3 linked regions of the Nothobranchius furzeri genome follow. Each later gene encodes a partner of the first gene's protein in a complex. Links are inferred from orthologs where the notes say so. Each region holds a gene or a part of one and is shown in the gene's direction. Other genes may lie near its edges. The genes, in order: pigf, pigg and pigo.

The links.
Region 2: pigf (region 1) and pigg share a complex: the UniProt entries of both Homo sapiens proteins name them as parts of the ethanolamine phosphate transferase 2 complex. The link is inferred for Nothobranchius furzeri from reciprocal best matches to the Homo sapiens genes PIGF and PIGG.
Region 3: pigf (region 1) and pigo share a complex: the UniProt entries of both Homo sapiens proteins name them as parts of the ethanolamine phosphate transferase 3 complex. The link is inferred for Nothobranchius furzeri from reciprocal best matches to the Homo sapiens genes PIGF and PIGO.

The regions. Positions count from the first base shown.
Region 1 is NC_091756.1:43,771,221-43,782,225, forward strand, and holds pigf (phosphatidylinositol-glycan biosynthesis class F protein), read left to right. Parts: upstream 1-4,471; 5' UTR 4,472-4,608; coding exon 4,609-4,836; intron 4,837-7,121; coding exon 7,122-7,213; intron 7,214-7,369; coding exon 7,370-7,486; intron 7,487-7,561; coding exon 7,562-7,670; intron 7,671-9,283; coding exon 9,284-9,397; 3' UTR 9,398-9,606; downstream 9,607-11,005. Other genes in the region: cript (cysteine-rich PDZ-binding protein), read right to left, coding at 2,560-2,663, 3,450-3,504, 3,788-3,853, 4,012-4,027.
Region 2 is NC_091741.1:29,980,591-29,990,907, reverse strand, and holds part of pigg (GPI ethanolamine phosphate transferase 2), read left to right. Parts: intron 1-6,234; coding exon 6,235-6,626; intron 6,627-8,981; coding exon 8,982-9,173; intron 9,174-10,317.
Region 3 is NC_091746.1:43,302,518-43,313,311, reverse strand, and holds the start of pigo (GPI ethanolamine phosphate transferase 3), read left to right. Parts: upstream 1-5,104; 5' UTR 5,105-5,271; intron 5,272-5,452; 5' UTR 5,453-5,453; coding exon 5,454-5,931; intron 5,932-6,022; coding exon 6,023-6,166; intron 6,167-6,265; coding exon 6,266-6,389; intron 6,390-6,777; coding exon 6,778-6,937; intron 6,938-8,254; coding exon 8,255-8,437; intron 8,438-8,575; coding exon 8,576-10,172; intron 10,173-10,270; coding exon 10,271-10,474; intron 10,475-10,551; coding exon 10,552-10,736; intron 10,737-10,794. Other genes in the region: stoml2 (stomatin-like protein 2, mitochondrial), read left to right, coding at 1-1, 167-225, 310-411, 499-633, 1,303-1,447, 1,542-1,621, 1,707-1,835, 1,995-2,135.

The DNA.
Region 1 (11,005 bases):
GGTGTTGTTAAGCAGCTGATAGTAACCGGGCTGACACGTGCCGGTGAACCAACCCACCTACCTCCATATCGCTAGTGTTAGATAGATAAACTTCATTGTCCACCTCGAATTGAGGCAGAAATTCGCCTTTGACATGGCTCACCTTACAATACAATCCATATCGCATTCACACAAATATATAAAAGACAATTAAAAGGTATTAAAATGTTATCGTAAAAAAAAAAAATTTTAAGACTTCAAAATTGTAATTGCGGTGGGAACAAATGATTTCTTATAGACACCTTTCTTGGCCAATGGAACTCTGTGCCTCCTTCCTGATGGAAGTAGCTGAAAATGTGGGTTCAATGGATGGGTTGAGTCTGCACTGATCAGGGTTGCCTTCCTGTGCACTGCTCGCTCGTGAAGAACAGAAAGTGGGATCTGAGGTGAGCCTGTAATTTTGCTGCCTAGTTTAACAATGCGAGAGAGTTGTGTTTTGTTATTAACTGCAAGAAAGTTATACCAAGCTGTAATATTTAAAGTTAGAATGGATTCAATCAGTTATTTGTATACAATTGTTAGGATGTCCTTGTTCACATTGAGTGCTCTTAGCTTCCTTAGCAGGTGGAGTCTTTGCAGCGCTTTCTTGTAGACACTGTTGCTGTGATTTGCAAAGGACAGGTGGTCATCAATTTCTGTTCCCAGATACCTGAATGACTGAACCTGCTCCACAGGCTGACCCTGTATGCTGAGGGGTTTGAACAGGGATGTGTCTGCCTCACTGGCTGCCCCACAGCACATTTCTTTAGTTTTTGAGATATTCAGCCCCAGGTGAAAGTCTTCAAATGTCTGGACCAGATTGCTGACCGCCTGCTGATATTTAGACAGGTCCTCCGACTGATGCCACCAGTGCCATGTCGTCTGCATACTTATACAGGGCCATTCTCTCACTATTCCACCGGGTGGTGATGTTAGCCCCAGGCGCCGGTTAGCTTCCAGCTAAAAGGCAACAGCACTCTCCTCCCAGTCCCACCCTGCTAAAAAGGGCCTGGAAAAGTTCCCCCACACATCAAAGTGATTTTTCATTTATGAGCTTTTATAACCTTGTTAATCAGGATAGTTGATTTGCTGCTGCACATAAACTGTCAATCAGAAGCTTTGCTAGCCAGTTATCTTAGTTCAATTTGTTAGCTTGTTATCAGAATCATAGTTGCAGTTTCATCATCTGAGCTGCATTTTAAGATCTAGGTAAACTTGTTCAATTTGGGGTTAAAAACAAACGTTTTCACATATTTTCCATGTAGTTTTTTGCCAGTTCCTCTTCTGAAAGGTAGACAATTGTTTTTCTCTTTCCCTCAGAAAATCTTAATATTCTCCTAGTTTGGCCCAGCACAGTTCACTTCCCAATAGCAGCAACAGCCTTATATCATAACCACATAAGTGGAGAAAATGCTCAGTAGCAATGAGAGAATTTGCTGTTCCATTTAAGTGATGTTAACTATTATTTAACATTTAAACTTATTTTCTGATATTTTTTTATTTATTCAAAAACCCTGGTAAGGGATGTTTTTCTGCATTTGGAGCATCAGAAAAAGTTTTATGGTGGAGGTGATGTTTTAAAGTCACTGAGAAACTGCATGCATGCAGTTTATTGTTTTGCTACTAATACAGTAGCAGGTGCAGCTGCATATTTTTGCAATAAAAATGTTATGTTGTAATGGAATTCATGCATTAGTTTTGTTTGCTTTGAACCCAGAGCAGACGTCACACGCCAGACGACATCAACACTGCATACTTTAGTATTTGTTCATTTATCGTGAGTAATATCGATATCGCAATATTAAACACTGTTATCGAATATCGCAGGTTTTTCTAATATCGTGCAGCCCTATTCCTAATTGTGAGTCTACCTAGGCATCATCATGAAGACATACCAAAGGCAGCAGGTTCAATGGGACACGTAGGCCTTGAAATCATTATAATAAAAAAGAAAACTTCAGCAAACTATAAAGATGATTTGTTTCACTGAGCATCTTCCATGTTTGATGAACCATCTGAAACATGGCCACTCCACTCTTTCATTTCCTGCAACTAAGACAGTTTGCTTCAATGTTCATCAAGATATGCCTTTTTAGATAAAGCCCTGTTTACATTTCATCATTCAGCCTAAATACAGTACAAACACACTGTATTCAAACAAACCTATCGAGAATGGCTCTAGATTATGCAAGTACAGTCTCTGTTGATGTGAGGCTGTAATTTTCTCCGGATTCTGACACTAAGACACACTGAAAAATGAAAACATCTGAGCAGAAAAGTCACAAGTTGAATTGTTCAACAACAGACAAACATTGCAGTTTCACAACTCGTCCCAGTTACTGTCACGTTTTCCTATAGGATGCAGATGGATTTGTCTCAGAGGAAAAGGATAATGTTGTTGGTGACATGATTACATGTGAAAAACTCAGCAGGGTGTTGAATAGAGAGCATGTGTGTGTGTGTTTTATGTAAAAGGGCTAATAGAAATGCTGTAGCGTTTTTGTGACACAAAACTAAATCTTCAGCACAATCACTTCATACCTTTCTTGTAAGCGCAGCCCTGGCAGTAGTGAGATCCAGCCTGATGAACTGAGCTTTTGCAGATCCTGCAGATTGCGAAGCCAGTCTTGCTGTAAGGGTCAAACCTGATGAAAATAATTGTTACACACATGACCAGTTATATCAGCTGACCACTTTGAATTAGTAATATACAACATTGAAAAACAGTAGCTAAACCGTTGTGTGACTTCTTCTGAGGAATAGTTCAGATAAGAGTTCATTATGATGGGCTTTTTAGGAAGATTTAAGAACAAGGTGTCACCTCATATTCTATACAAATCTTACAATCAGACTAAAAACCAAATGAGAGCTACTCCTTTTCTGTTACTAATAAGGTTCACCAGATATTGTCACCTATTCCCTTTAACTTGTATATGGACGATCTAAGTTTTATTTAACTAAGAGAGCATAAGAGTGGATGAATGGGGAAATAATGACCAATCATCTCATGACTGCTGAAGATTTGATGGTCTTTTACTCTTCAGAGCAGGTTTGCAACAGTTACTTAAGAGTGTGTTCCAGCTATGATGTAAAAATCAACTGTTATGATTGCAAGAAATGAAGAAGATCAGGATTTAAACGTGGTTCATAAAGTAAAATACTAAGGACAGATGATTAATGATGATTCATGTGGTGATTTGTGCCAATGCAGCAAAATGTATGCCCAAGCAAATATGGTGGTGAGAAAGTTTTATATGATAAGGTTGAACTTTAGTAAAATAACAGTTTTTGGTTCAATTTCAAGAAGGTAATTTTAAGATAAGTATATTAATGCGTTTAGAATATTTTCTCTGACTTCTCATATTTGTATTTACATTCATTAGATTGTTGTAATTAAAGTTTATTTTTTTCTATAAATTGTTTTTACTCACCTGGCTTTTTTGGATGTCAAAATCTTGTTCTCATTTAGCTTACGTCCTCCACTCTCTGACACAAAGAAAGAAGACAAACTTGTTAAACACGGACATCTAAATGTTACTATACCTATACTAATATAAAAAAAATAAACACCAATTAATTTATATTATGGCGTGATCAACCAAATGAGGACTAAACCTGCTAGTAACGTGAAAAAATATAGAAACAATGATTACATTTTCAAAAGTAACTTGTAAACAAGACAACAAGTCTCATATCTAGAATAATTAACAAACAGCAATTTATCATACTGATGGCAAAAAAACATTTCACTACGCATTCCTCGGGTCACCTGTTGTATTCCGTGCTCCGTCCTTCCAAGTGTCGGGGGTAATTACTTTTCCCAGTTTCTTCTCGCCTAAAATATAAAACAAAACAATTATGGAGGAAAATACAATAAGAACTAAACTATTGGCCTTCTAGTTTGCATTTGAGACTTTCGCTGACAAAAGTAACGTTCATCAGATTTTAAAATGAACAATACGTCTGAAAATCAGAAGCAAATGACATACATACACTTTTCACAGACCATCTTTGCGGTGTGTCGAATGACGCAGTAGAAATGATCGTTTGTTAGCTTTAGCTTGCTTTGCTAATGTAAACGTCCGGTCAGCTGAGGCATTTCAAATGACAGGTTTCATTGGTTGCTTTAACGAGTAACATCTTCTGTGATTGGTTAAAACAATTGAGTTACGCAACGCGAACTATAACTTACTACTTCCCGTTTATTTGCTTATAGGTTCTTCAAAATAAATGTTTGATAAAGTCAAGCACTTTTACCTTATTTAACCCAAGCGTATTCATTAGCAGAGATTGAGTAACAAGTAAAACATACACCTTTTTCACTTGAAATTGAAATAAACTGACCCGATAATCTATGATAATATGTTTCGAAACGGATGTTTTTTCATCATTCACCTAAGATGTCTGTGCGCAGTAGACTTTTACTGTGAAATTAAGCGGACGTTCTTACGTCTTCGTGTTTACGGAAACGCGGAAAAGAAATACATAGACCTGACAGTTTCCCAATGTTACCTTACGTTTTTTAGGTGTTTTATTTGACTTCCCCGCATCGTTATCGGGTTCTTGTTGTAAATAGTTCACGTCTTCATCATGTGGGACCATGAAATTAAAGCTATGGCGTCTACTCACGCGATTATCACCGCCTCGGTGTTCATGGCCACGGTCATCCCCGCGGTGTTTGTCCCGGGCTTCTCAGTGTATGGGACTCACCTGCTGTGGGTCTACGCGGTGTCCGGTACGGTGACCTGTGTCAGCGTCGCTATCTTCTGGCTGCTCGGCATCTCACCGCCCACCAAAAAGCACACACTGGGATACAAGGTGCCAAAACAACTAGATAATGTTTTTAAAGTGAATTGTTGATTATGTTCGACATATAAATGTATTATGTGATATGTGAAGGTATCTTATGAATTTTACAAAATGTATTCGTTTGTTATTATTAATATTATTATTATTTGGACAGGGAAATGGACATCAGTCAACTTGCTTTTTAATTAAATTTAATAGATGTGTGAAAATGAAGGTAAGTTTTGGATATTGTAAGGTGAGGTGATGAAAAAGTAGAAATTGTAAGCGTTTCTTGTTATGATCTATTTTATTTAGGTGTGAAAAAAGTAATTGTCTCTTAACACATTTCATATATTATTTGTTTAATTTTTTGTCCCACTTAAATGGTTCAGATCAAACAAATTTCAACATCAGGCAAAGAGAACTTGAGTAAACTAAACTAAATGCAGTTTTCAAAGGATTATGTCCTTTATGAAGGGAAGAGAGCTAACAAAACCATCCGAGTTTCATTTCATTTTAATTCGGTTCATCCATGATCTAAACGGCTCATCTTTAGCGCTAATCATCATCAGATGAGAGCTAGGGGACATTCTGGACAGGTCTCCAGTCATATAGAAGGACAAACAACCATTCAAACATACACTCTCCCACCTAGAGACTATTTAGAGTCATTATTGAACCCTTTTCATGGATGTGTCTGGTCCATGGGAGGAAGCAAGTTACTGGAGAAGGGCCACACAAGCATGGGGAGAACATCCTAACTCCACGCAGAAAGGCCATGCAGGCAGGATTCGAACCTGCAGCATTCTTGCTTTGAGGCAAATAAATTTAATTTTTTCATAAAGCGCCAGTTCACAACATAAGTCACCTCAAAGCGTACAAAGAAACAAAGGAAGTACCTCCACCTTTGTTAAATCGTGAATTACGTTTTGTTCATTTGCCTCTTCTAGAAATGACTTCAGAGAACATGTCTCATAAAGCAGGCAAAAAAATCTCAAGAAGCAACACATCAGGTCTCACTTGGTTAATGTCGAGGTCAGACTTCAGGATTTAATAATAAAAAGAGATGGGAAACAAAAATGGCCTCCATGTGAGAGTCCTATGATGACGACCTCAGCTGACAAAGAAGAACATAAAGGACCCTCTCACATTTGTTAAAAAAAGAATAATCCTTAAGACTTGTAGCAAATTATTCCATTTTGGACAGTGCGTTTCCAGGTTGGTTTAGACTATTTTTGTTAATAAATTAAACATTTAATTTCCCAGGTTATCTTTGTCCGATATTGAAAATGTGTTTGCTGATCTGAAACATTTTGGCGTGACAAAAAGGTGAAAACAAAGAAATCTGGAAGGAGCAGAATCCAAAGGCGTTCCCTGGCCATCCAAGAGACCCTCCAGCGTGTCCTGGATCTTCTTTTGGGTCTCCTCCCAGTTTGAAGTGCCCAGTAAACCTCACCAGGAGGCGTCCATGAGACATCCTAACTAGATGCCCAAGCCACCTCAACTGGTTTGTCTCGATGTGGAGGAGCAGCTGGTCTAACTCCGAACCCCTCCTGGATGACCGAGCTTCTCACCCGATCCCCAGTGGAGAAAACTCATTTCAGCCGCTTGTATATGTGATCTCGTTCTTTCGGTCACTACCCAAATCCCGTGACCATAGATGAGGGGAGGAACGTAGATCGACTGGTAAACTCGCCTTCCAGCTCAGCTCTCTCCACCACGACAGATCGGTACAACGCCCGCTGCACTGCAGACGTAGCACCAATCCGCCTATCGATCTCACGCTCCAGCTTTCCCTCACTCGTGAAAAAGACCTCGAAATACTTAAACTCCTCCACTTGAGGCGGGACCTCATCCCTGACCCGGAGAAGGCTACTCAAGAGCATGGTCTTGGATTTAGAAGCTGTTACTATTTCATTAAAACATCTTAGTATATCAAACCAAAGTTGTAAGTTAGGAAATGTATTTTTTTACACAATATTAATTATTTCACTTTGTTTATTATGACTTGTTATATTTTACTACTATTTTGATATTATTTTGCTATAAATGTTTTTTACTACTGTAGTTACTACGTTTTAGGCTGTAATAATGAACCTCATGTTTAACGTGTGTTGAATTGACAAATAAATAATCTTTATATTTTGCAAGATGTGCTTCTTTACATGCTTAAATGATCAACTTCTCTATAATTTATTGTTGGTCACATATTTTTTGAACCCATCCCTCACATTCACATTCTCAAATGCTCTAAGATTTTAGTTTTCATCCCAAAACATTTAGTTTTTAATCCGATCATGTCTTTCTGTCCTCAGCTGTCCAGGCTGTCTCGCTCCTGTTTGTACTTCTTCCTGTCGTGTTTGTTCTTCTACACGGTGGTGGTTCTCTATGGAGCTCCATTGATAGAGTGAGTAGCTGATTCTGCTCAAGTAACACACACACACACACATTGTTAAACAGTGTATTTAGAGCTTGTTTTCACTCTAGATTTATCTACAGCAGTGCTTCTCTTCTTCGGTTTTACTTAGCTGACACAGCTTGTGTTTAACTTTATACTTTTTAGATCTGCTTTAGAGACATTTTCACTTTCTGTCCTCCTGACCTCACTGACCACGCTGAGGTGCCTCTGTGTTCTTGGCCCTAACGTTCAGACCTGGATACGAGTGTTCAGTCGGCATGGGTAAGCCAAAACTCTCCTGTCATCATCTTTCCATCCCATTCCCACACTTTACTCTTGATCTGTCCCTGTCCTCAGAGCCATGTCAGTGTGGGACACCTGCCTGCAGATCACAGTGGCCTGCACCCTGATAGGAGCCTGGGTTGGAGCATTTCCAATTCCTTTGGACTGGGACAGGCCCTGGCAGGTCAGCAGCTCGCATAGAAAACCCACATGTACATGATTGAGCTTTTATTTTAATTTTATTTTTTTAATTTGAGATCAAACTTTCTTAAATACAATTTTTTTAAACAATTCCCTTTATTTTATCTTTGCAAAATCAACATGAGTCTTAACTTTCCTTTTAAAAATGTTCTTGAGTTTTTGCTTTTTCTCATTTAGTTACTGATGAGAAGGGAATCTGAATCACGCTGATGTGTGATCCAATTTGCAAGTGTTATTTTAAATATTGAGTGTGTTTAAGGGCTTGCAACACAAATAAAAAGACATACTGAAAATGTTATGACCCCAATAAGTGCAGTATCAGCATCCAGAAAATATGTTGTTGCTCTTTGCATGAAATGAAAATATTGTTGGAACTAGAGCTGATCTGAGCTTTGTGACATGCTGCGTTATCCTGCTGGAAGCAGATGGGTCCACTGTGGTCAACAACAAGACTCTGATTGGAACCAGTGGACTTTTGAGCTGCTGTTTTCTTTCCATCATCTCCAACCAGTCTGACCATTCTCCTCTGACGACAACACATTTGCATCTACACGATTGCTGCTCACTGGATATTTTCACTTTTCTCAACTCACTTTATATAAACCCTAGAGATGGTTGTAGGTGAAATTCCCAGGAGATCAGCAGTTTCTGAAACACTCAGACCAGCCAGTCTGGCACCAACTATCATGTCACCTTCTAAGTCACTTAAATCTCCTTTCTCCTCATTCTGATGGTCAGTTTGATCTGAAAGACCAAGTTCACTGAGAAACCATTGCTCACTACAGAGAAGTGTGTTTTTGGTTTAGCATCCAGGAGAGAGCAGAGCATGTCTCGGCTAGTAGAAGCTAACCGTTAGCATTAGCAACTTCATTACATGGCAGAACTTCTTCAGGCTTGCGTTATTTGTTGAGATAAAACATTAACGTTGCAAATCAAACAAAGTCAATGGTAGAGTCACGTTGCTGTTAGCCAATCAGAGGCGAGATGTCTGATATAAGACTCCAAATCTGTCTTCTTCTGCTCCTCCTCTGCTACGGCTCACTTCTACTTCCTAAAACAGGAGCGCCAGAGCTTTTTCCCAAAGAGATCGACTCACACTCGTTTATACTTGAGACCACTGCAAATGTGTTGAAAAAACATTAAGCAAGTCATCTTTACCAATTCTTAGTTCCGTGTTTAATGAGTTGTTGCCTTGTGATTAGCTGATTGTGTGTGTGTGTGTGTGTGTGTGTGTGTGTGTGTGGGTGTGTGTGTGTGTGTGTGTGTGTGTGTGTGTGTGTGTGTGTGTGTGTGTGTGTGTGTGTGTGTGTGTGTGTAAACAATCAATTGGACAGGTGAACCTAATAAGGTGTTTCTTTTGTAACATCTTTGATGCTTTCGCTCTACTTTCTTTAAATTTCTTATAATTATTGTACAACAGGCAGATTGAAGTGGTTGTTATGGAGACTATGTTCTATGTGCTGTAACTTAAGAAAAAGAGCCTTTTATTTAAAATAACACAGCTCCAGTCAGGGCATGCTCATAAGGATCCTTCACATCTGTATTGAGGTGTTTCATCACACTGGGTGCCAGTAAACGTGCCGTCCTTTCTTGCAGGTCTGGCCAGTTTCCTGCAGCCTTGGCGCTATGATTGGCTACCTGACCGGGCTTGTTTCTGCTCCCGCCTGGATCCACTATCATCGCAAACAGCTCACATACAAGTGCAAGTGACAGACAGACACATGACCTCCTGTCTGCGTTTGTCTGAATGTGTTCCTTTAGGTCTGTTATAACTTTTTACTGATTATTTATTGGAGAGCGTTTGCAGTGTTTTGAGTCTGTAAGGGATTTTGTAACAACACGAGAGGTTGTTTTGTACCTGTGCAGGCTGAACTTGTGTTTTTTTGACATGAATAAACCATTCCTTAATTAAACATGAACAGGGACTGGATTTATCTTATAATGCCATGGCTTTTGTTGGATGACTCGTCGTCGTCTTCCTCCGCTTATCCGGGTCCGGGTCGCGGGGGCAGCATCCCAACTAGGGAGCTCCAGACCGTCCTCTCCCCAGCCACCTCCACCAGCTCCTCCGGTAGGACCCCAAGGCGTTCCCGGACCAGATTGGAGATGCAACCTCTCCAACGTGTCCTGGGTCGACCCGGGGGCCTCCTGCCGGCAGGACATGCCCGAAACACCTCCCCAGGGAGGCGTCCAGGGGGCATCCTGACCAGATGCCCAAAGCACCTCAACTGACTCCTTTTGATCCGGAGGAGCAGCGGTTCTACTCCGAGTCCCTCCCGAATGTCCGCGCTCCTCACCCTATCTCTAAGGCTGAGCCCGGCCACCCTACGGAGGAAACTCATTTCGGCCGCTTGTATCCACGATCTCGTTCTTTCGGTCATTACCCAAAGCTCATGACCATAGGTGAGGATTGGGACGTAGGTCGACCGGTAAATCAAGAGGCTGGCTTTCTGGCTCACCTTTCTCTTCACCACAACAGATCAGCTCAGCGTCCGCATCACTGCAGATGCCGAACCAATCCGTCTGTCGATCTCCCGATCCCTCCTACCCTCACTCATGAACAAGACCCCGAGATACTTAAACTCCTCCACTTGAGGTAGGACCTCTCTCCCGACCCGGAGTTGGCAAGCCACCCTTTCTCGGTCAAGAACCATGGTCTCAGATTTGGAGGTGCTGATCCTCATCCCAGCCGCTTCACACTCGGCTGCGAACCTACCCAGCAAGAGCTGAAGGTCAGAGCTGGATGAAGCTAGGAGGACCACATCATCCGCAAAAAGCAGAGACGAGATTCTCCTGCCACCAAACTTGACACACTCCACACCACGGCTGTGCCTAGAAATTCTGTCCATAAAGGTAATGAACAGAACCGGTGACAAAGGGCAGATGGGGCACACGTGCATGTGTTTGCTGGTGAAAAATCTCAAACCAGTAGGTGGTGCTGTTGGGTCATGGCTTGTGTTTTGGTCTACCTAAAGAAACAAAAGCAAAGAAACACCATCAATAATGCGATTGGATGATTATTTATCATAAAATGTTAAAACTCCGCCCACACTGGTGAAGTCCTGCACCTGCAGCTGTCCACTGATTAATACATTTCCTCCTTAAACAGCCATTAATCTTGCTCAAATGCCATTAGTACAGTACAACAGCCCTCCTCCTGCTCCGCCTCATTCTCATTCCACCTTTTCACATCCCGGGGATACCATATTGATTCAGTCTCTTTTTCAGGACATTAATTTCCCCCCCCCTTTCAAGCCGCCCACGCCTCTTGTTCTCCCTCGCAGCCAGAATGAGACTTCCAATTTGTGTTCTGCAGTC
Region 2 (10,317 bases), on another chromosome or scaffold:
AACAGTATTCATGTCTGCTTTGATTTATGTGGTAACAGAGGCAGAGGCTGATTAGTTCAGTTTGACAAAACACAGGAGAAAAACAGCAGAACCTGTAGCTCACAGTAATTAACTTGTTTCAAATATAATGAAGGCACAGACTGCAATTTACAGGTGTGTTACCTGTTGGATAGTGTCTCATTTCTTCCATTTTCAGTGTGTTCGTCCAAGTTATGACACGTTATTTCTGACCTGATAAATGCAGTCATGGGATAACAGTCTGGGAGTTAGAAATGATTCACACCGTCATTAGCAGGCCGGGAAAGAATGTACATTTAACCTCAAATGCACTAAAACACCTAACAGATGCTAAATAAGACCATGTTTATTAAACAAAAACACACCCAAAGTGGGAAAGCTGAGTATAAAAAAAAGGTCTGCCTTGCTATTTTTGGATGATTTAGGTGTGAAAGTATCAGCCAGGTGATTAGATGTGTTGATCATCATCTGTGGGACTTTTTTCTTTACAACCACGAGTGTTGGCTGTTTGCTGGTCCGGAGTATACAGGCGTGTGTTGACACAAGGCCAAGTGAAGAAACATCAGCAAATGTTGCCAAGCATCGCTCTCAGAAGTTATGAGTAATCTAGAAGCTCCTTTAAAGCTCATATTTTAAAAATGGTCTTCCTTTCTTTCTTTTGGAGCTTGTTTCTGTAGTTTTTTTTACGAAGATTTTGTAATCTTCTCAGAGTCTCATGACGAAAAAGTTTAAAAACATTTATTTTTTATTTGTAGGTGTGTTGGACCTTTTGTTTCATATTAAAGTAGTAAAAGCCAAGTAAAGTCATTTAAAAATCAAAAATAAGAATAAAAGAAAGGGTGTTTATTTAAAATGGTTAAGTAAAAACAAACCAACCGCTCATATTCTATCTTATAACAACAAAATTGTAGTCAACTAAAACATCCATCCATCCATTTTCCTCTGCTTATCCGGAGTCGGGTCACGTGGGCAGCAGTAAGAAGAGAGGCCCAGATTTCCTTGTCCCCAGCCACTTGGGCCAGCTCCTCCAGGAGAATCCCAAGGCGCTTCCTGGCCAGCCATGAGACATAGTCCCTCCAGCGTGTCCTGGGTCTTCCTTTAGGGCTCTTCCTGGTTGGACGTGCCCAGAAAAGCGTCCAGGAGGCATCCTGACCAGATGCCCGAGCCACCTCAATTGGCTCCTCTGGATGTGGAGGAGCAGCTGGTCTACTCCGAGCCCCTCCTGGATGAGCGAGCTTCTCACCCTATCTCTAAGAAAGAGCCAAGCCACCCTGCGGAGAAAACTTATTTCAGCTGCTTGTATCCGCGATCTCGTTCTATTGGTCACTACCCAAAGCTCATGACCATAGGTTAGGGTAGGAATGTAGATTAACCGGTAAATCGAGAGCTTAGGCATCTCGTTCAGCTCTCTCTTCACCACGACAGAGCGGTACAACGCCCGCATCACTGCAGACGCAGCACCAATTCAACTGTCGATCTCATGCTCCATTTTTCCCCCACTCGTGAACAAGACCCCAAGATACTTCAACCTCTACTTGAGGCAAAACCTGGAGAAAGCATTTTACCCTTTTTCTGACTGAAGACAATGGTCTCAGATTTAGCGGAGCTGATTCTCTGTCATTTGAGGCCCTTTCTAAAATCATTACTGTAAAAATTATTTTTGATCTTTACATTACTTGCCTCAAGTGGAGGTTGAAGTATCAAAAAGAGCACACGTCACCCCTCTGTTCATTGAGCTCCACTGGCTACCGCTAGCAGCACGCATCAAATTCAAATTGCTAACACTAGCATACAAAGTCCGAGACGGTACGGCTCCCATCTACCTGAATCCTCTTGCAAAGGCTTACGTCTCGGCCCGGCCGCTCCGGTCATCACAGGATGGTCGGCTAGCGGTGCCTACACCACGCTCAGGACTATCCAGACTCTTCTCATGCATCGTTCCACAAATGTGGAATGACCTTCCAAGCACTACCAGAACAGGAGCTTCCTTTTCAATTTTCAAGAAACTCCTGAAGACCCTGCTCTTCAGAGAGCATCTTCTAAACTAGCACCCTCCCTGCACCTGCCCCCCCCCCCCCCTCTCTACTGTCCTCTCCTTGTTCCCTCCTCTCCATGACTGATGTCAAGTTGTTGTTATTGTTGTTGTTGTTAGCCTCAAGGGCAACATGCCAATTATCACTAGTAAGTCGCTTTGGACAAAAGCGTCTGCTAAATACATAAACATAAACATAAACTAGACGACACACTAATCCACTTCATATCTATCATTCCATTCATATCTTGTCATGTATAATCGTTAGTTTTGGGAAAAGAAATAAATTCATTTTATAAACTATATACTGACTCTGTCTGAATTAATACGAAGTGTGTTTATGGTCCCTGAATACGTAAAGTAACTATAATCTTCTGATTAACATTGGAAGATCAATCAGATTGATATTTCATATTTATATGGAATTATCACATCTTATTGGTCATCTCAATAAATATGTAGTAAATCCTCAACACTGATAATAATGGAGGCATACGTTTTTAATGCACTTCCTACCCTGCTGTTGTGTGTTGCCCTCATTCTACCATTTCTCGGGTTTAGTCTCTTGAAGGGGGGAGGGATGCTCGTCATTTTTTAAGAATTGCAAAGTCACTAATGATGTTTATTACAGCATTGGCCCATTTTATTAATTGCATTAGTTTTTAATTGAACATTGGTTTCCTAAATCAAAAATATAAACTTGTAGAGCTCATTTTATAGTGAAAAAAATGTGCTGAAGTGAAATGTTTAGTTTCGATAATCTGGCCACAGGGGGTGGTGGCGGTCTGAGTGACCTTTCATTAACCCTGTAAAGGGTCATTTATGCACATACTGAATCAAGAAAGTCACCATGTTCAGATTAAAAATATGAAAAAGTTGCATCGTATCCCTTTAAACTGTCCTGATCGTCTTTTGTATTTGTAAGGGAAAATCTATTCTCCAGTCGTCTAGTCCCACAGCGAGCTCACTGCTGTAACCTGCAGGTAGTGTATGTAACGACTCAGCCCCTCCCCGTCATTGAGATAAACATGGGCCATGACGCATGTCTGTGTGCTGCAGTAGAATGCTGCTGAAATTGGCCGAACTTTATCTGAACCAACTTCACAGTCAATCAAACCATTTACAAACAAGTGTGCAGCTGGAAAATCTCCAGTGTGTAGAATGGGATGGACTCATCCGTAAGAGACAAGCTGCAGCTGATGAGACAACTCATGGTCAGTCTGAGCAGGAAATGGCTGTTTTATACTAAATAGTAATGTGGTGGATAATCAGATGAAAAGGTAATTCTGTCCACCATAACAAGCAGCCTGTAAACAAACAGTGTGAACAGATAATAAATCAGCTGAGTCATGTTTCTGTTTATAGTCTTTCTGACCAGATCTGGCTTAAGTGGTTGGAATCAGGATGTTCTGTTAGGAAGTTCATGGGTCATTTAATTGATGTCACTGGATGTGTTTTTCAATTATAAACAGAGTGGTTTGAATTACCTGCAATATTTAATAAATCTACTTATCCCTCTGGCAACTGTGATGGCAAAGTACAGAGGTGTGTGTATGTGCAAGTACGTGAGTAGTAGAAGGTAAGGAGGTGAGTAGGAACGAGTTCCTCAGACTCTACCCAAAAATACAACATGGCAAGAAATTATGGTTTCACTTCCAATTTAGTCAACACAAGGCCTGGGGCGATAACAGATTTTGCTGGACGATATATTGTCCAACAAATTATTGACGATAAACGATATTATTGTCGACATTATCGAGACCAAAATAACCACTTATGTAATGTTAATATATCATAATAATGAAAGTACACACTTTAAAATGCAACAATAAAATCTTTATTTAACATTGGAATGTCCAGAACCAGAACTTCCAAGTAATTAAATAAAACAAACAAAAAAAATCAATAAATAAAAAAGGACTTTCAGTCTCTGTTAGAAAACATTGCAGCAAAAACAATAAAATAGAACCTGTCTGTCCAAAAAATAATAATAAATAAACAATGGCCTATCCAGTGTCAACAACCAAAACTGCACTTCAATAATGATAATAAATATTAATAATAGAATTGCACATTTTTTTACCTCGATATATTGAGGATTTTATTTATAAAGCACTTTACAAGCAAAAGTGCGACTCCAAATCTTTTACAGATTTAAAATGACCCCAAATTCCTGTAACAGTTTAAAAGCATCAACAGTCTCACACACACACACACACACACACACACACACACACACACACACACACACACACACACTCAGACACACACACAATAACGTCAGTAAAAATAATATTTAGCTGAGTCCAGATGAGCCAAGTAAGGTAAGGCAAGGAAACGCCATCAGAGGAGCCATCTGCCCCGGCACCATCAGGTCAGTCACAGCAACCAAGTCAGTGCGCCCAGAGGAGGGAGGCCATAGACCCCCACCACCACTCAAGCAATACCTCTAGAGCGCCCAGGCAGCATTACTTGACCGCCGCCCTGGGGCAGAGGGCCCCCACAAAGGAAGCACTGGATTAAAATGAGTTAAAATATAAAAATAAAAGAGCAAAATAAATGATAAAAGTAAGAACATAAATAATACATAAAAATCATATGGAGAGTAAAATATTATTATAATTAAACAATGAAACAATGCTTGAATATCATCATGTAAAACGTGCTCAGCAAGTAATAAAATATAATCATCCAAAATGAGAAATAAAACTATAGTCAATAATTAGTTAAAAGCTAATCTAAGCGCAGTGGACGTGAGGGTTCATATGGTAAAAGCAATTCTGAGAGATAAAAAGGCCCAAGACCATTAAGACACTTAAAAACCATTAAAAGAACCTTACAATCGATCCTGAAACATACAGGGAGCCAATGCGGTGATTCTGAAACTGGTGTAACGTGCTCCCACCTCCTAGTCTGCGTCAGGGCACGTGCTGCCGAATTTTGTAGAAGTTGTAAACCTGAGATGCTCTTTTTGGGAAAATCAGAAAGCAGGGCATTACAGTAGTCAATTCTACTGGTGATACAAGCATCAGTGTCTCGTGTTGGCCACAGAGAGAATGGGCGGACTCTGGCGATGTTCTTTAGATGATTAAAACCTTAATTTTCATCTATCGTACGATTAATTGATTTATTGATTATCGTCCCAGCCCTAGACAAAACTAAAAGTGGTAAAATGGTAAATGGCTTGTATTTGGTATAGCGCCTTCTAGAGTCCTATAACCCCCCAAGGTGCTTTACAACACAGTCATTCACCCATTCACATGCTGGTGGTGATGAGCTAAGATGTAGCCACAGCTGCCTTGGGGCGCACTGACAGAGGCGAGGCTGCCAAGCACTGGCGCCACCGGTCTCTCTGACCACCACCAGCAGGCAGGGGGGGTTAAGTGTCTTGCCCAAGGACACAACAACAGCAACAAACTGAGCAGGGCTCGAACCTGCAACTTTCCAATTACAGGGCGAGTACTTAACTCCTGTGCCACCATACAGAGTTTTGTTACCAAGCCCTGTGGAACATTAGTTAAGGTTTATTGTGTTGTGTTTGTCGTTGCACTAGTAGCTTGCAACGTTCACCACTAGGATTGAGTCTTGGCTGAAAGAAAACCAAAGTTGTACCCATTTCTACTTAGCACTGGTTTTACGTGTGAACAAGTGATTGTTAAACTTTGTGCAGTGTAGATCTAACGCTGTTGAGATTTTTGTGTTTTATTGCTGTCTAGAAAACCTCAACCAGAGAATCAGAAATAGTTATACACTCTAATTCAACTAGTTTGTACTATTGTACTATGATGTATTAGCCTGGCTAACCATCCTGTGTATGTAGTGAGACTTGAACTGGAGGCTGAAATGCTCCCTTGGATACTTCTGATCATATAAGAGCACACAGACCTGCGCTGTTCCACTCGGGGGTAACGAAGCATCAGATGCCCACCTGGCTTCTATATTTGCCCAGATAGCAGTCTGACGGAATTCATTAGAATCCGTCTCCAAAGAGACCCTGTCCTTCGGTCCACAAGAACCCAAAAGTTTATTTTAAAGGTCTTCCGACGTTCATACATTAGGCTTTGAATGGATTAAAACTTTTATTTGAATCAAAACGACAGTTTGGTTGTATTTTCTTTCCATTTTCCTTTGAATAATAAGTCTCATTGTCCTGTTTCCTTCTCCTTCCACCCTCTCCTCTGAAGAACACCGGTGGTGATTGGTCACTCTCAGAGTTGGACGTCTTGCTGCTGGCAGGAACCATCGGTCACACGCTCAGCTTGGCGGCGAGTAGTTTTGTGGAAGAGGAGCATCAGACCTGGTACTTCCTCCTCAACACACTCTGCCTCGCAGTCTTTCAGGACGTCTGCCGAAAATACTTCAGAGAGCAGCGGGGCTTTGGAGAGGAAGAGGAGCTTTTCCTCCCTTCCAAGGACAGCCATCCGTCTTCTCATCACAAATCTGAAGTGAGCTCAGAGAAGTGGCTGGCTCTGGCCACGCCCCCGTTCACTCTGGTGTGTTGCAGACTGCTGCGTTCCCTCAACCAAACCGGAGTTCAGTGGGCTCATCTTCCAGATGTTGGACACTGGCTGAACAGGTTAGCAATATCAATATTACTGTGTTTTCACGTGTCCTTTCTGTTTAGACAGGTAGAGCGGGTTGTCCAGTAATCGGAAGGTTGAAGGTTCGATCCCAGCTTTGATCAGAGAATGCTGCTGTTGTGTCTTTGAGCAAGACACTTAACCCACTTCGCCTGCTGGTGGTGGTCACTAACAGAAAAGTGACTTTTCATAGTCTAAATGTTTGCGTACCTTATAAAAAGTTCTGTTTTGGTAGCATCATTTCTTGCAAGTTTCATTTTACTTGCCAGAGAAATCATGATGTCTTCCTAGGAGTTGGAGGTTTAAGTAGGAGCCTGGTGATGTCGTGGTTACTCTCATGTCAGAGTGAGTGGTATCAGCAAGCACAGGTCCTTGAGACCTGCACACAGAGACTCGAAAACAAATTTCTCACCAAAACATTTTGAATGTTTGTGTGTGAGAAACTCGTCAGCATCATACAGAACTAAAGCTTGGTTTATGCTTGACACATTCACTTTCCGCGCGGTGATGCGGCTCGCGGATGGAACGCGCTTCACAACTCGCAGCGTTTATGGTTCATGCGGCTCGTCTCTGCGGTGAGCCAATATTCTCCCAAACTGTAGGGGGCAGCATGGAGCTCTACAGGATGCATCCAACACTACACCATAGTAGAAGTAGAAATTACTGTTTACAACACGGCATTCCAGCATTTTTAACAGCGTCCTCGTCTTTTCCGACAGTGCGAGCTATTTCTCTCCAAGAATTATTAACAACATGTTGATCACGGTGATCTCTGAGAGCTGAATCATACAAATGTCTGTATTTACCAACCTCTGCCGTGCTAGTTCTTGCCGGTCCGCCATGTTTTTCCGCGTCCGTCCGTCCGCGTGGTTAAAAATTTTCCAAGGTGCGCGTTGCGGAAATTCTGGGCCGTGCGGAGACGCGGTGGAGGGGTGTGGTTGTTAAAATGACGCAACTTTTCCTTGCGGAGCCGTGCGGACCTCGCGGACGCGTCAAGCATAAACAACCTTAATTCTGTAGACGGGCCCCTTTCCAAGCCCCTACATGGCTTTTGTTTCAGAAACTGTCCGGACCTGTTTTGTGTGAATCTGGATACATCCAGAGGGCTGTCAAATATCTTTATTTTTGAGTATTTGGTGAGCAAATAGCCACTTCATTGACTGACTTGAGACGTGATGATGCATAATAAACAGTTGGATGTAAAACACAAGGTGTATGATTTGGTTGTAACCACATTTTAAAAGTTTAAATCGCTGTCTGCTGATGCTGAAACATTTCACATTTGTTTCTCTGAGCAGCAGACAGGAGCCCCCACTTAACATTTCAACAATGGAATGAAGCCGTCTGATTGCTCAGACTGTAGGAAAACTGATTTCTCACAAAAACCGGAACTCTTCCGCAGCCATTAATATTCCGACAGCAGCACAGGGCTGGGGATTTTGGTTTGTTCTTGAACATGTATCACATTGTGGAATAGAGATGTGGATTCTGACCTTTTCTTGGACCAGCGTTGCCCTTTCTTCCCGCCTGCTCTGCCTGCTGCTTGGGTAATGAGATCCAGGTAGCCTTGTGCCTCGCCGTGTCTTCAAGTTTCCGATGACTGCCTGATCCCACTAATGGCTAAACGCACAGCTTCTGCTCAACTTTGATGCGTCCTTTGTGGTCTCATTATTTCCTGTCCAAAATGTCTTACCGTAAACAATTTAAAATCTGTCCTTTTCTAGACATAATGGACAGGCACGGTTTCATCTCAGTGAATGGTCGGCTTAGTAAACACCCCTCTTTTGTTTTGAATGAAGATGATGATGATGATGATGATGGTGATGATGATGAATTATTGCACATCCTGTGTTTATTTATTGAATCCGGTGACAATGGTGTGTACAACATTTTTGATAAGCGCATAAATTTAATGTTAACGAGCAAGCCACTCCCAAATCATAAACTATATAAATGAGTGTCTGACCGTGCTGCAGACTCGTGAAGTCAATAATTTGGCACTTTAGTGCATCTTAGTTAAAATTTAAATGTTCTGCCTAAATCTGTCAGTGTTGCACCCTCTTTAGGTAAAAACTCTGCACTGCATTTGAATTTAAATCTGCCACTGGTACACTATGACATTAGCTGGTACATTATGATGTCACAATGTCATTGTGAGCCTGTGTGTGTATTTGTTAGCAGCTCCGCCCTCTGAGTCTACCAGGCAACAGCATTTGTTGCATTTTAGAAACAGGAAGTGGGAGTGGAGTAAGACTCTGGTAGGGGGTGACTTGCTCTTTAAAAATGTACAACGCATACTTTATTTATTTTTTTATCAACTTATAATTCTTGTCTGTTGTCTTTTCTTGCAGCTCTGATCACAAGACGGTGCTCTCGCTGCTGTCTGCTTTCTGTTTGGTTCTGATCTACCTCCTGGTTCAAAGACGATGTTCACTAGTCTCCAAGTTCGCCCTGGCCCTTGGACTTCTGGGTGTCTACAGCTACCGGGCAGCTGTTGGCAATGTCTTGTTTCCCTGGCAACAATCCACTCGAACTACGTCCAAGTAAGTTGTGCGAAGCACCGGAACTTGATTTCACTCGCTGCAACAGCGGGTCAAGACTCGGTCTCTCGACAGTGAAGTGATTTAAAGTGTGGTGGTGCTCTGTGATGTAAATGAGCACATGGGCTGTAATGTGTGTGTCATCTGGGACAAACACCAAGACCAAATAATTAACTTTGATGATAAGCTGCTCAACAGTTCATTATTTTTTCTTTTCTCCACGCCTACCTGCAGTAAATCTCCAGTGTCTTATAAAAGTGACGCAGTTTTAAATATAAATGATTACACTGAAAAGGGGCATCACACCGGCTGACTGTTGATTTAAACCAATAGGAAATGCCTCACCATTGACAGCTTTTTATTCCGACTAATCTTTTCGTCTAAGCCCAGTTTCTTCTCTCTGATGGATGTGAAGTTACATCCTTGCAACATAGCAGGAAGCTGCTTGGTTAGAGCTGAGGGTTGGAGCAGCGTTGTAGCACACCATCCAATCTAGTCTAGGTATACATTTTTCTGTTTTCCTGCCAGAATACTAAATCGCTAGAAGTATTGGGACAGTGCAGCAAATCAATGCATTCAAGGACTGCATTGGAGGTGTGGACCAAAATGTACATCTAAATGATTTAAGCTGCATTCAAATATACAATAAATCCCTTGAAGGTGAAGTGTGTGAAAATAAAGATGACATCATCTGGTCAAATTTGCTAACTGCAAGCTACCTCTCACTCCTGTTTGGTGAGATTCATGGCTGTAGGCAGTTACGCATCAGCACCAGAAGATTAGAGGTGACAAGCAAAGATGAGTCATACGCAGTAAGTTTATAAGTAGTTGTGATATCTGGTGTAGGCCCTATTGGGTGCTTTTACGGAAGAGAGCACTTACTCATCTTACTATGGTATTATGCCTCCGGTGTGTTTACCGTCAGGTAGGGTTGTCACGGTGTGAACGGTGTGGCCAAAATTGTCACGGTTTTTGCTCCTATCTGATTTTTTTTTAATGTGTTATATTTCCAGACAACTAAATAAACCGTCTGTCAGGAAAATATTGTCCTCAGTTTGCGTTTAAATTTTGTTTTGTAATTATGTGTTTTATTTGTTTAACTTTAAAATACCAAAATTTGCCCTTAGCATTTAATTTTTTTTGTCTA
Region 3 (10,794 bases), on another chromosome or scaffold:
GGTGAGTAATCACCTCCCTCGACTCCTCACAAGGGGATGAGGATGAAGGCTGTTTGTCTTTGAAAAGCATAAATCATCGTTCCAGTGAATGTATCGCTCAGTCTGAGCAAAGCAATTGGATTATCAAAACTTCTTATCCAGTTACTGCAGCTGCACTCTTTTACAGACAACGTAACACTACAGATTGATGGAGTGCTTTACCTCAGGATCCTAGACCCGTTTAAGGTATGCTGCAACACCAGCAATGATTTATTTAATTATACATTTTCAAACTGGGGCTTTTAACGTCTCCTCTCTGCCTTCTCCCAGGCCAGCTATGGCGTTGAGGATCCGGAGTATGCAGTCACACAGCTGGCACAGACCACCATGCGTTCAGAGCTGGGCAAACTGACCTTAGACAAAGTGTTCCGGGTAACGACGGATGACTGCGTTATGTTACATCGATTTTTTGTAATAGTTGTGTAAAATGTTGTAACTGGCTTTGAAATTCTGTTTTAGGAAAGAGAATCCCTCAATTCCAACATTGTCCACTCCATCAACCAAGCTTCAGACGAGTGGGGCATCCGCTGCCTCCGTTATGAAATCAAAGATATTCACGTCCCACCTCGCGTCAAAGAATCCATGCAGATGCAGGTAAGGAATTTGATTGGTGACTTTGTAAATTAGTACATTTCAGTCACTTTAGCAGCTTTGATTGGGATGTGTTCACTCCTTAAGTGTTTGGTCCGTGTTTCTCCTTGTTGGGGTTTTCTTACACGGGCGTGACCAGTAGTCGCTCTAGGGTGCAGACTGAACTGTACACCGGCTCTTGAGGTGTATCCACTCCAGTGCCGTTTGCTTTTGGTGTGAATGTGATCTAACGAAGATCTGACACAACTAACAGTCCTGCTCTGGACACTAGGCAGGTTTAGCATGCTTTGACACCACCCCCAGTCTTCATTTTAAACAACTCTCATGAAAACAAACTGAGATTTGAACCCCCATCTCCCAGTCCCAGGGCGGACACTCCACCAACTCAGGACACTCAACTATCTTCCTGCATCTACTTCTGGTAGCCCCGCCCCCAGACATATGTGAGCAATCAGAAGGCTGAATGTGACTCATTATGTTATGTTTGTTGTTTTCCCTGTGTGAAAAAACAAAACCACAAGAAAAAGCTACATTTAGGAACAGAATGGGACCAGAGGAGCTGGACTGGTGTGGAAACATCTCGCCTAAATTATTTTTTACATGCTAAAACAAAATTAAATCTACTCTTATAAAACACAAGGGTGGTATCAATCATTTCCTGACTGTGTGCAGGTTGAGGCGGAGCGTAAAAAGAGAGCCACGGTGCTGGAGTCTGAAGGGACAAGAGAGGCAGCCATTAATGTCGCCGAGGGTCGTAAGCAGGCCCAGATCCTGGCCTCCGAGGGAGAAAAAGCAGAACAGATCAATAAAGCAGCTGGTACTTAGAGTCCTCTTGGTCAGCTAAATTATTTAAACTATCCACACATTTCCACCGGGGCTCTATATGTAATGGATAATTGTGTTCCATCCAGGTGAGGCCCAAGCTGTTTTAGCTAAAGCTGAGGCAAAAGCAAAGGCCATCCGCATGCTGTCCGACGCTCTGGCTGAGCAAGTGAGTTTCTCCTTTTCTTTAATGTGACAGTGACTCCAGCTAAAGGCATTTTGTGGTGAATTTTGTTTTATTTTCTGTTGCACAGAATGGAAATGCAGCTGCGTCTCTGAGTGTGGCTGAACAGTACGTGTCTGCGTTCTCCAATCTGGCCAAAAGCTCAAACACCATCCTGCTGCCGTCGAACACGGGGGACATTAGTGGAATGGTCTCACAGGTGTGTGTGTGTGTGTGTGTGTGTGTGTGTGTGTGTGTGTGTGTGTGTGTGTGTGTGTGTGTGTGTGTGTGTGTGTGTGTGTGTGTGTTTTTTCAAAGCTCTGTGCATGAAGTACAAGCCACTGTGACTTCAATGTGTTCTCAACTTGTTCCCTTTCAGGCCATGACTATTTACAGCACGCTGGCCAAGACGAACCCAACAACATCTCCAGAAGTGGTGGAGAAGAAAATGCCGGATGTTCTAGACCAGCTGATTCCACCTGAAGAGGAGAGGACTCAGCAAATGAACTCAGAACATTAAATAACAAAGAACGGAGCCAGATGAAGCAGCTGAAGTCAAACGTTCTGATGGAATATTCAGGAAAAGCTTCAACCTTTACAAAGTCTGTGTGGTGGTGGTGTCCTGGACTAATCACGTTTTCATAGAGGATCCTCCCTGATCCTCCTCCTTCAGTTATGATTGGATTCTAAAGTTAAGAGCAGCCTTCAGAAAACTGATGGAAGTGTCGTCTCAGTTATGAATGCAACTTTTCCATGCTTTATTTTAGTACTGCAAACATTTCTCTTCCAAAAGATTTACATGAAATATAACACTGTCTACCTGTTTCTCCAGTTATTGTGTTTTAAAAAGCTGTTCTAGTTTCTATGGGATTTTAGTTGGAATGGTAGCTCAGATGAGCTGTTTGATTAAGAAAAAATAAATAAATATATATATAAATACATCTTTATTCTTTTTTTGCACTGAAATGTGTTTTACCTTTCAGCCTCTGTGGGACCAGGCTTTGAGCTCAACGCCACGTAGAAAGCTTATAAAGTCTGAATATTTATTATTTGGTCCATATTATGTTAAATCCAAACAGTTACAATGTATTTGTTCTGAGATAAGCTGATGCTAAAGTTTTTTTTTTTTACAATGAAATCAGTCAAATACCTCAGCTTGGAAGAGAAGAAGCAGATACAGCGATAACTGAATACTTTATAATCAGTGTATTTACTGAGTATAAAACACTTGGCAATTTGTGTAATTTACCCTCTAATGCACATGTGCCAGACACAAGGCCCGTGAGATAAATATCAAAAATATATTAAAGCTGGCCGGTTTTACAGCAAAGATTACAACTCCCATGATGCTTTGCTGTGTTAGCGTGGAGCTGAAGCGCCCCCTACTGTATGATTTTTCCGGTGTCTGCAGCTCCGCTGTCTCCGACAAACTAAACACTCCTCTCACTCAGTGCCGAGTTAACTCCGCTATTTGCCGATGTTGAAGCCCAGAGACGGAGATTTTAACCGCTCAGTAATGTGTTCACAACTGAAAGAAAAAGTTTTTCCAACTTGACAGAGCTGATATAACTCCAGCGAGCTGCGACAAGCTCAAATCAGCATGACTCTGTGACTGCTGTAGTTTTTATTTTTCCTCCCCGACACACATCAACGTGGTAAAGCTGCTGAGATGTTCTCCATGTTCACCAGCACAAACCTTTGTGAGCGCCTGTTGTCATCTAATGTTGTCATTACTATGATGAAAATGAACAAAACAACAGGAGTCTCCTCAGCTCAGATCAACCCCATGATGCAGGTAACTGGCTGGAACAGGTGAGCATCACAGTAAAACAGTGGAGCAAACTGAGCTCTAAATATTTTGGTTTTATGCTCTATTTCTGCTCCTAAACATGAAAGTTAACAGTTGAGATATTTCATTTTGATTTAAGATAAAATTATATTTTTATTTTGTTGTTGGCCAATCACAGGCGTAGATTTGGCATGGACGGAAGTGACATGTCCCTACCAATATCCAGTGATGACTAAATAGTCCGCACCAATAATATGACTGCCTCCGCTAAAAAAAACTGTCAAATGTCTCACGGGCCGCCCGTGAGAAAATATTTAACCTACAGTAAAACAGGAGTGGGAAAGTAGATGAACAGAATAGAAAATCCCTTTATTGTTCCTCAGTGGTAGATGTCACAGCAGCGATGGCACTTATTACAGGAGAAAAAAGGAGAATAAAAAAATAAGAAAAATGAATAAACAACAAGAAAACATAAATCCTGAATAGATTTAAAAAATGCTGAATGTACCACAAGTAATGAATACCACTGATGTGTTTTATTTAAAATTGACTTGCTCGTGTTTAATTTGGTTATTCCACATTCAGTGTTATTGCAAAATATGTTTGTTTCCAAATTAAAAGGTTCAAAATTGCATATATGTTGATAAAGAAAATGTGCAAAATTGACGTCACTTTTTCAAAAAATATTAACTTCGGCCCGTGACTTCGTCCCAGATTTTCATTTCGGCCCAGTGTGAATTTGAGTTTGACATCAAATGGATAAAATACGGAATAAAAATATGAAGTGATTTAAACTTTTTTTTAATAAAATGCCATTTAGAATCACAACCAACTTCACATCAATGCACGAGTTTAAAAAAATATTTAACAAATACATGGAGAAATACGTTTTATCATTCGTTTGATGTCTGCTTGGGTTCAAACCGCAGGAGGTTATAGCCCCAGCAAAGATGCCCTAACAATTTGCTCCCTAGTAACCTCCACCGGTGGTAGCCAAGGTGGTCCCTGACCAGCCTGGACATGTGTCCTCATTAGACAAGTATTTCTGTCAAATTGTTAAGACAAGATTGATGTCTAGAATTCCACTGCTCTCTGTATATTTGTAGTTATGTTGAACAACTGTTGCAATGTATATGGTCAATGACAATTTATAGCACATTGAAAACCCAAGATGACCGAAGCGCTTAAAAAATTATATATATATATATATATATATATATATATATAATTTTTATTGTGTGTGTAAAAACTGCCATGTCGTTTGTTTTATTGATTCTTTTTGGTTTATTTTCCACTTTAGGCTATTTTAACCCTTTCATGTATGAATTATGAAATCTTCAACCATGATTTTTTAACTATTTTTTTCCATTCATCTTTAGGTGTGAATGAAACAAATTTCAACAAATATTTTTGGAACATTTAATAATTTACACATAATTTATTACATGTCCACCTCAGTGGACAGCGTCCATTCTGAACATGAAATATGTTGACTTGACTTACTGAAGTCCAACTGGAGGGGCTCAATCCAAAAAGTCTTCAACAGCTGTGCTTAATAGCAAAAATAACAATTTTGAGTACCTGTCCGCTGAAGTGACCATTATGCATCAACGGGTTAAAATGTTTAACCCGAGTCCTCAAAAGAAGACACCCTCGGGTGTTACTGAAAAAGCAGTCCTCCGTGAATTTCCGCCGGGTTCCCTGCACGCTAGAGTTCCTACCTGTAATCTCGCTGTACCAGAAACAGTGAAGGACAATGTGTCTCTCCGTTCGCCGTCTACCTGAGATACCCGTACCACCTTGTTGTTGTTGTTAACACACACATTCACCTCCGGCCGAGAGAGGACGGAACCTCATCCGCTACAAGGTCAGTCCAAAGCGAGGCGAGCTAGCCTTGCTAACGTTAGCCACCTGATTATCGACAGTTTATTTTGCGTTACATTCACATTTCTCAGAACCTGGTTTGTAGTTGTTGCTAAAGTGCATTTACTTTTTTCACGTGAAGCAAAGCTAACTTCCGCTCTAACTTCTATCACCTGCCGGTTTAGGATGAAGGGAACGCGAGTGCTGTCCCTGCTCCTTTGGCTGTGTCTGATGTACTTCGTGGGCATCTACCTGTTCGTGGGCGGCTTCTTGCTGGTGAGGATGGAGGTGAACAGGACCAGCACCTGCGGGGACATACTCGAGCCTGGGGATGGGTCTGGGGACTTCTGCGGCTCCCAGCCGCGTTTCCGCAGGGCTGTCCTCATCATCATCGACGCCCTAAAGATCGACTTCGCCCGGTTTGACCCCAGTAACACGGCGCCGCGACCTTATGAGAACAAGATACCTGTGCTGGAGGAGACCCTCTCTTCTAGGCCTCTCCAAAGCCGTTTGTACACCTTCCGAGCAGACCCACCCACCACCACAATGCAGAGAATCAAGGGCTTCACCACCGGATCCTTGCCGACCTTTGTGGATGTGGGAAATAACTTTGCATCCAGCGCAATCTTGGAGGACAATCTTATCCAACAGTTTGGGAAAACTGGTGAGATTCGTTTTTTTTTTCCTTGCTTTTTACCAAACATCACAACACTATATTTACTGTGTCTTTGTGAAACGTGTCGGACCTCTCACAGGCAAACGAGTGGTGTTCATGGGCGATGACACTTGGGAGAGTCTGTTTCCCAAGAAGTTCCACCGCTCCCTGCCTTTTCCTTCTTTCAATGTCAAGGATCTGCACACAGTGGACAACGGGATACTGCAGCACCTCTACACAACTAGTATGTATTTACCACCAGAGCTTCACTTTCCACAGGTATTCAATGCCTCTATCATGCTTAATTTCTGTTCGCGCACTTGTTTATGTTGGTTTGAAACAGTGATGGGTGACGACTGGGATGTCCTGGTTGCCCATTTTCTCGGGGTAGATCACTGTGGTCACAGGTTTGGCCCTGACCACCCAGCCATGGCTGATAAGCTCACCCAGATGGACAGTGTCATCAGGTCAGATGATTAGTACAACAGGCTTTGATTTAGACAAAGACATGTTTATTCAGACAGTCCTACTAAGGGATAGACTCAGAAAATTCGCTGCTGCTTAAAATGAAGTATTTGGCTGGAATGTTTTTTTTTTTTTGTTAATAAAAATTGCTTTTAGAATAAATTAATGATGAAATTGCAGCAACTTCTGCTGATGCAGTTCCCCTAAAACTTAAACAATAACAACATGAGTAGAAATGAGAAATATAAACAAATACGTCTCGCAAAGTTATAAAAACAAGCTTAAGATGTAAACTAGCTGCTATGTGAGTGAGGATCTATTCATTTAACATGTCATCCATACATCTTCTCTCCTTTGTTTGCTTGGTGCTCATTCGTGCCCTCTGTCCAGGTCTGTGATCGACCGCCTGCAGAATGACACCCTCTTGGTGTTGATGGGAGATCACGGGATGACCGACACTGGAGATCACGGAGGGGAAAGTCAGAAGGAGACTGATGCTACCCTCTTTCTTTACAGTCCTTCCCCTATCTTCCCAGCACCACTGTCTCAGGTAGGTGTAGAAATTATGCTTTTTTTGGGTCAGTTTTAACCCAAAACTATCAAAGCAGGTCAAAAGGTCAAAAAAGGGTTAATCTTGACAACATATTAGAGACTATTATATAAATTATGACTGTGTTATGCAGGTTTATAAAAAAAATAAATCCGTTTAACTGCTTTGATGTATAAGTGCAGACAAGCATACTGAGAGTTCGCTGTAGAATATGTGAAGGCATGGCAGCTTTATTTGTATAGCACATGTCAGACACAGAGGCGATTCAATGTGCTTTTCAAGAACAGCATGAACATGAAAATCAACGTGACCGTGAGCAGGTCCAGTGCAGAAGGTGCAGCATAAACATTAATTTAACGACTGATGAAAATATGAATGTTTTCAATTTTGATTTAAAAGTTTTTAGAGTTTGGTCACATATGAGGTCACTAGGAAGCTGATTCCTTCTTTTTATAGCATAGCAGCTAAAAGCAGCTTCACCCTGTTTGGTTCTGACCCGAGGTTCTACCAGCTGATCGCTTCCTAAGGATCTCAGAGCCCTGCTGGGCGTTCATACATGAAGGATATCCATCATGCCCTTTTCTTTAGTTCTTTGTTGTACACAGAGTGATAAGAGTTTGTTACCTTTGCTGACATGTTTCTATGTTCACTGTCGCCTTTGTCAGAACAACTGCTGGATTTTGATGGCGTCACTTCCTTTTAGTTGTGGGATGAAGTGACGCCATCAACATCCGGTGGTTGCTCTGATGAAGGCGTTGGTAAAACACTGAAACATGTCAGCAAAGGTAACAACAAACCCTGAAAGTACTTTGAAATAGATTGTGTAGTTTACTGGTAACCAGTGTAGAGATTTAAGAACAGGAGTGATGTGCTCGGTTCTCTTGGTTCTTGTTAAGACTCTAGCAGCAGCGTTCTGAATAAGCTGCAGTTGCTTCACAGCTTTTTTGGGAAGACCAGAACAAAAGACCATGAAGATTTAACTTAAAACTCAGTCAGGACTTAATGGGATGTTTTTGGCCTTTTAAAGGTTATTTTTATGAGAAAGTTCATTTCTACCCAGTTAGTTCATAGCTTTTCTTTGTTTCATGTATTTAGATATTTGTCTAGTATTTTTAAACTTTTATTTACATTCATTTTTTTTTCTACAAGTTTCCCTGATATTTTCTTAAAGTGTAAAACTAATTAGATTTTCCGCTAACTGTAAGAAAAAAAATTCTATTTTTATTAATTTCTTGTTTGGAACCTCCCTTTTCTCTCGGCTGCACATTGATATGAGACATTGTTCAGATATAACCATGCTTTGTTGTGATTTGACAGACGGAACCAGATGTGGTTCCACAGACTGACCTGGTGCCCACCCTGGCTCTGCTGCTGGGGGTTCCCATCCCCTACAGCAGTGTGGGGCAGGTCCTCCTCCCATTATTCTCTCCACATGGGCAGACAGGAAGTGCAGTTGGGGGTCTCAGCCAGCTGGAGGCGCTGTGGATCAATGCAAAACAGGTAGTTTAGGTAGAAAAAAGCTTACTTTATAAATCTTGAAGTCCCCAAACAGAGAAGATCCCTTTTGTTCTCCTCACTTAAAGACAAATTAACTGTTGTGTTTTGTTTGTTTTTCCTCTTTCTCTTCTGTTTCTAAAGGTTAACCGTTTCCTGGAGACATACTCCAGCATGGCCAAAGATATCCCACCAGAAAGCCTCTCCCAGCTGCAGCAGGAATTTTCCCGCCTGTCCTCTGAGTACCTCCTCACAGCTAGAGAGAGCCGATTGCCCTCCTCTCACCTGGTCTCTGCTCTGCAGGCCTACCTCACCTCCGTCAGAGACATCTGCCGAGCCACCTGGGCTCGATTCAATCCGGTCAAGATGGCGGCAGGTTTAGTCCTCCTGGCGTCTGTCTGCCTCGTGTGTTTCTTGATGTCAGAACTCTCCCCGGCACTGATGAGGGAAAAAACTGCTGGACTGCTGGCTCCGCTTGTTGTTGCGCTCGCTGTGGGGGCTTGTGCTGCAGCTGCCCAGCTGCTCACACGGGGCTACGTGGAGACAGCATGGTGCCTAGCGGCTGGTGCCTTCAGCTCTGAAATTCTCTTCTTCTGGAGAGTGTGTAGACTCAGCCCCCCCGCCGTGACAAAGAACGGAGCTAAAGCCTCTAAGCTCTCCAGGTGGCTGGTCCTGCGTCGCCTCCTCACTCCTCCTCTCATGGTGCCGCTCCTCCGATGTGCCTCCCTGCTCTCAGACAGTTACGTGATTGCTGAAGGCCGTGTCATAACCTTTCTAGTGCTCTCTCTGGTCATCTACATTCCTATTCATCTCAACTGGAATGGCTTACTTCTGCCCCCAAGTCCCGATCCTCTGAAGTCTGCTGGGCTGCTGCCGTCCCCAGCCTTGTCACCATCAATAGTGAGGAAAGAGAGTGGGATCCTCTTAGCTTGCCTTGGAGTTCTCATTGGCAGCATGTACCTCTCCCTCTCCTTCCATGGGTGCAGAGAAGAGCAGGGCTTTTGCCAGCCGTCGCCGTTCCTGTCTCCTCTGTCACGGTTGCAGGACAGCCAGCTGAAGAATCTGTACTACATCCTCTCTGTCATCTCTCTCGGTGTGTTTGCGTATCTGCTGAGACACTGCCTGTGCCACTATGGTAATCTGAACTCCTCGGGTGGCGCGGTGTTCACGGCTCGCTGGATCCTTCCCCTGCTCTCGGTTTGCCTGGCACTCCACTGGGCGGTTAGCGCCACTCCAGAGGACAGCTTTAGGAAGCTGTCCGAGCTGATCCGGCTGGCCCAGCTGGCCCTGCCGAGGGCGGCCTTCTGTCTCCTGGGACTCGGGCTGTGTCTCATCTGGCTTGACCCTCTTACTGTGTTTGTGAAGGCCCGGGCTACTTCTTCATCCAGAAGTTCAGCCCCTGCTCTGCCTCGCTACAGAGCGAGCACTGGCATCAGCCCCCAAGCTGAGCTGCGCCACCTGATCCCTCAGATTTACCATCGCATGCGACGTTCCCTGGAAGATGGAGAGCTCAGCGGAGGCATTGAGGCAGACAACAGGCCCACTGTGGAGGCCTACGGACTGGGAACCGTCTACTCTGCCCCTGTGCTGCTGTTCTGGGGAATGCTGGGAGTTGGACTATTGCTGTTGCACCCAGAGGGCATGGCTCTGTCTTTCCTCCTGCTTCTGCTAGAAATGGGCGCTCTGCTGCACATTCACGCCTCCTCCGTAAATCTTAGTGGTGCACACGGAGCTTCTACGGGTACAGTCTCACCTAAACACTTAGTTTTTAATTCACAGCACTGCCCATTGGTAAAAAAAAAAAAAATCTGCTCTCCTCTGTCTGACTGTGTCCCCTAGGTGGTTTTACCGTGCCCTGGGCTCCAATAGTGGTCTGGTCTCTCGCTGCTACCCAGTTCTTCCATGCCACCGGTCACCTACCCACCTTTCCCTCCATCCAGTGGGGTGCTGCCTTTGTGGGGTTTCCTGACGGACACACAGGCACCTTTTTACCTGCATTGCTGGTTTCCCTCAACACCTTTGCTTCACACATCCTATTTGCAGGTAATCCTATAAAAAGTCATGTAAAATTGTAAGAAAATTGACCAAAGTATTCCAGCAAGCATTATTTTTGTCCTCAGTGGGGTGTCCATTGCTGCTGCTGTGGCCCTTGGTGCGTGAGGTGCGTGGGAGCAGAGGTGGGAGAGCTTGTGGGGAAGAAGGTGAGGATGCCGTCATGGAGATGAGACTGAGAGAAAACCCAGAGCAGTTCAGCTCCGCTCTTCTGCAGCTGTCGGCACGCTACCTCTTCATCCATGGAGTGCAGGTTTGTTCCCAGGCAGCGAAGACAAATTTAAAGGTGCAATTTGTAAGAAGTCTACTGG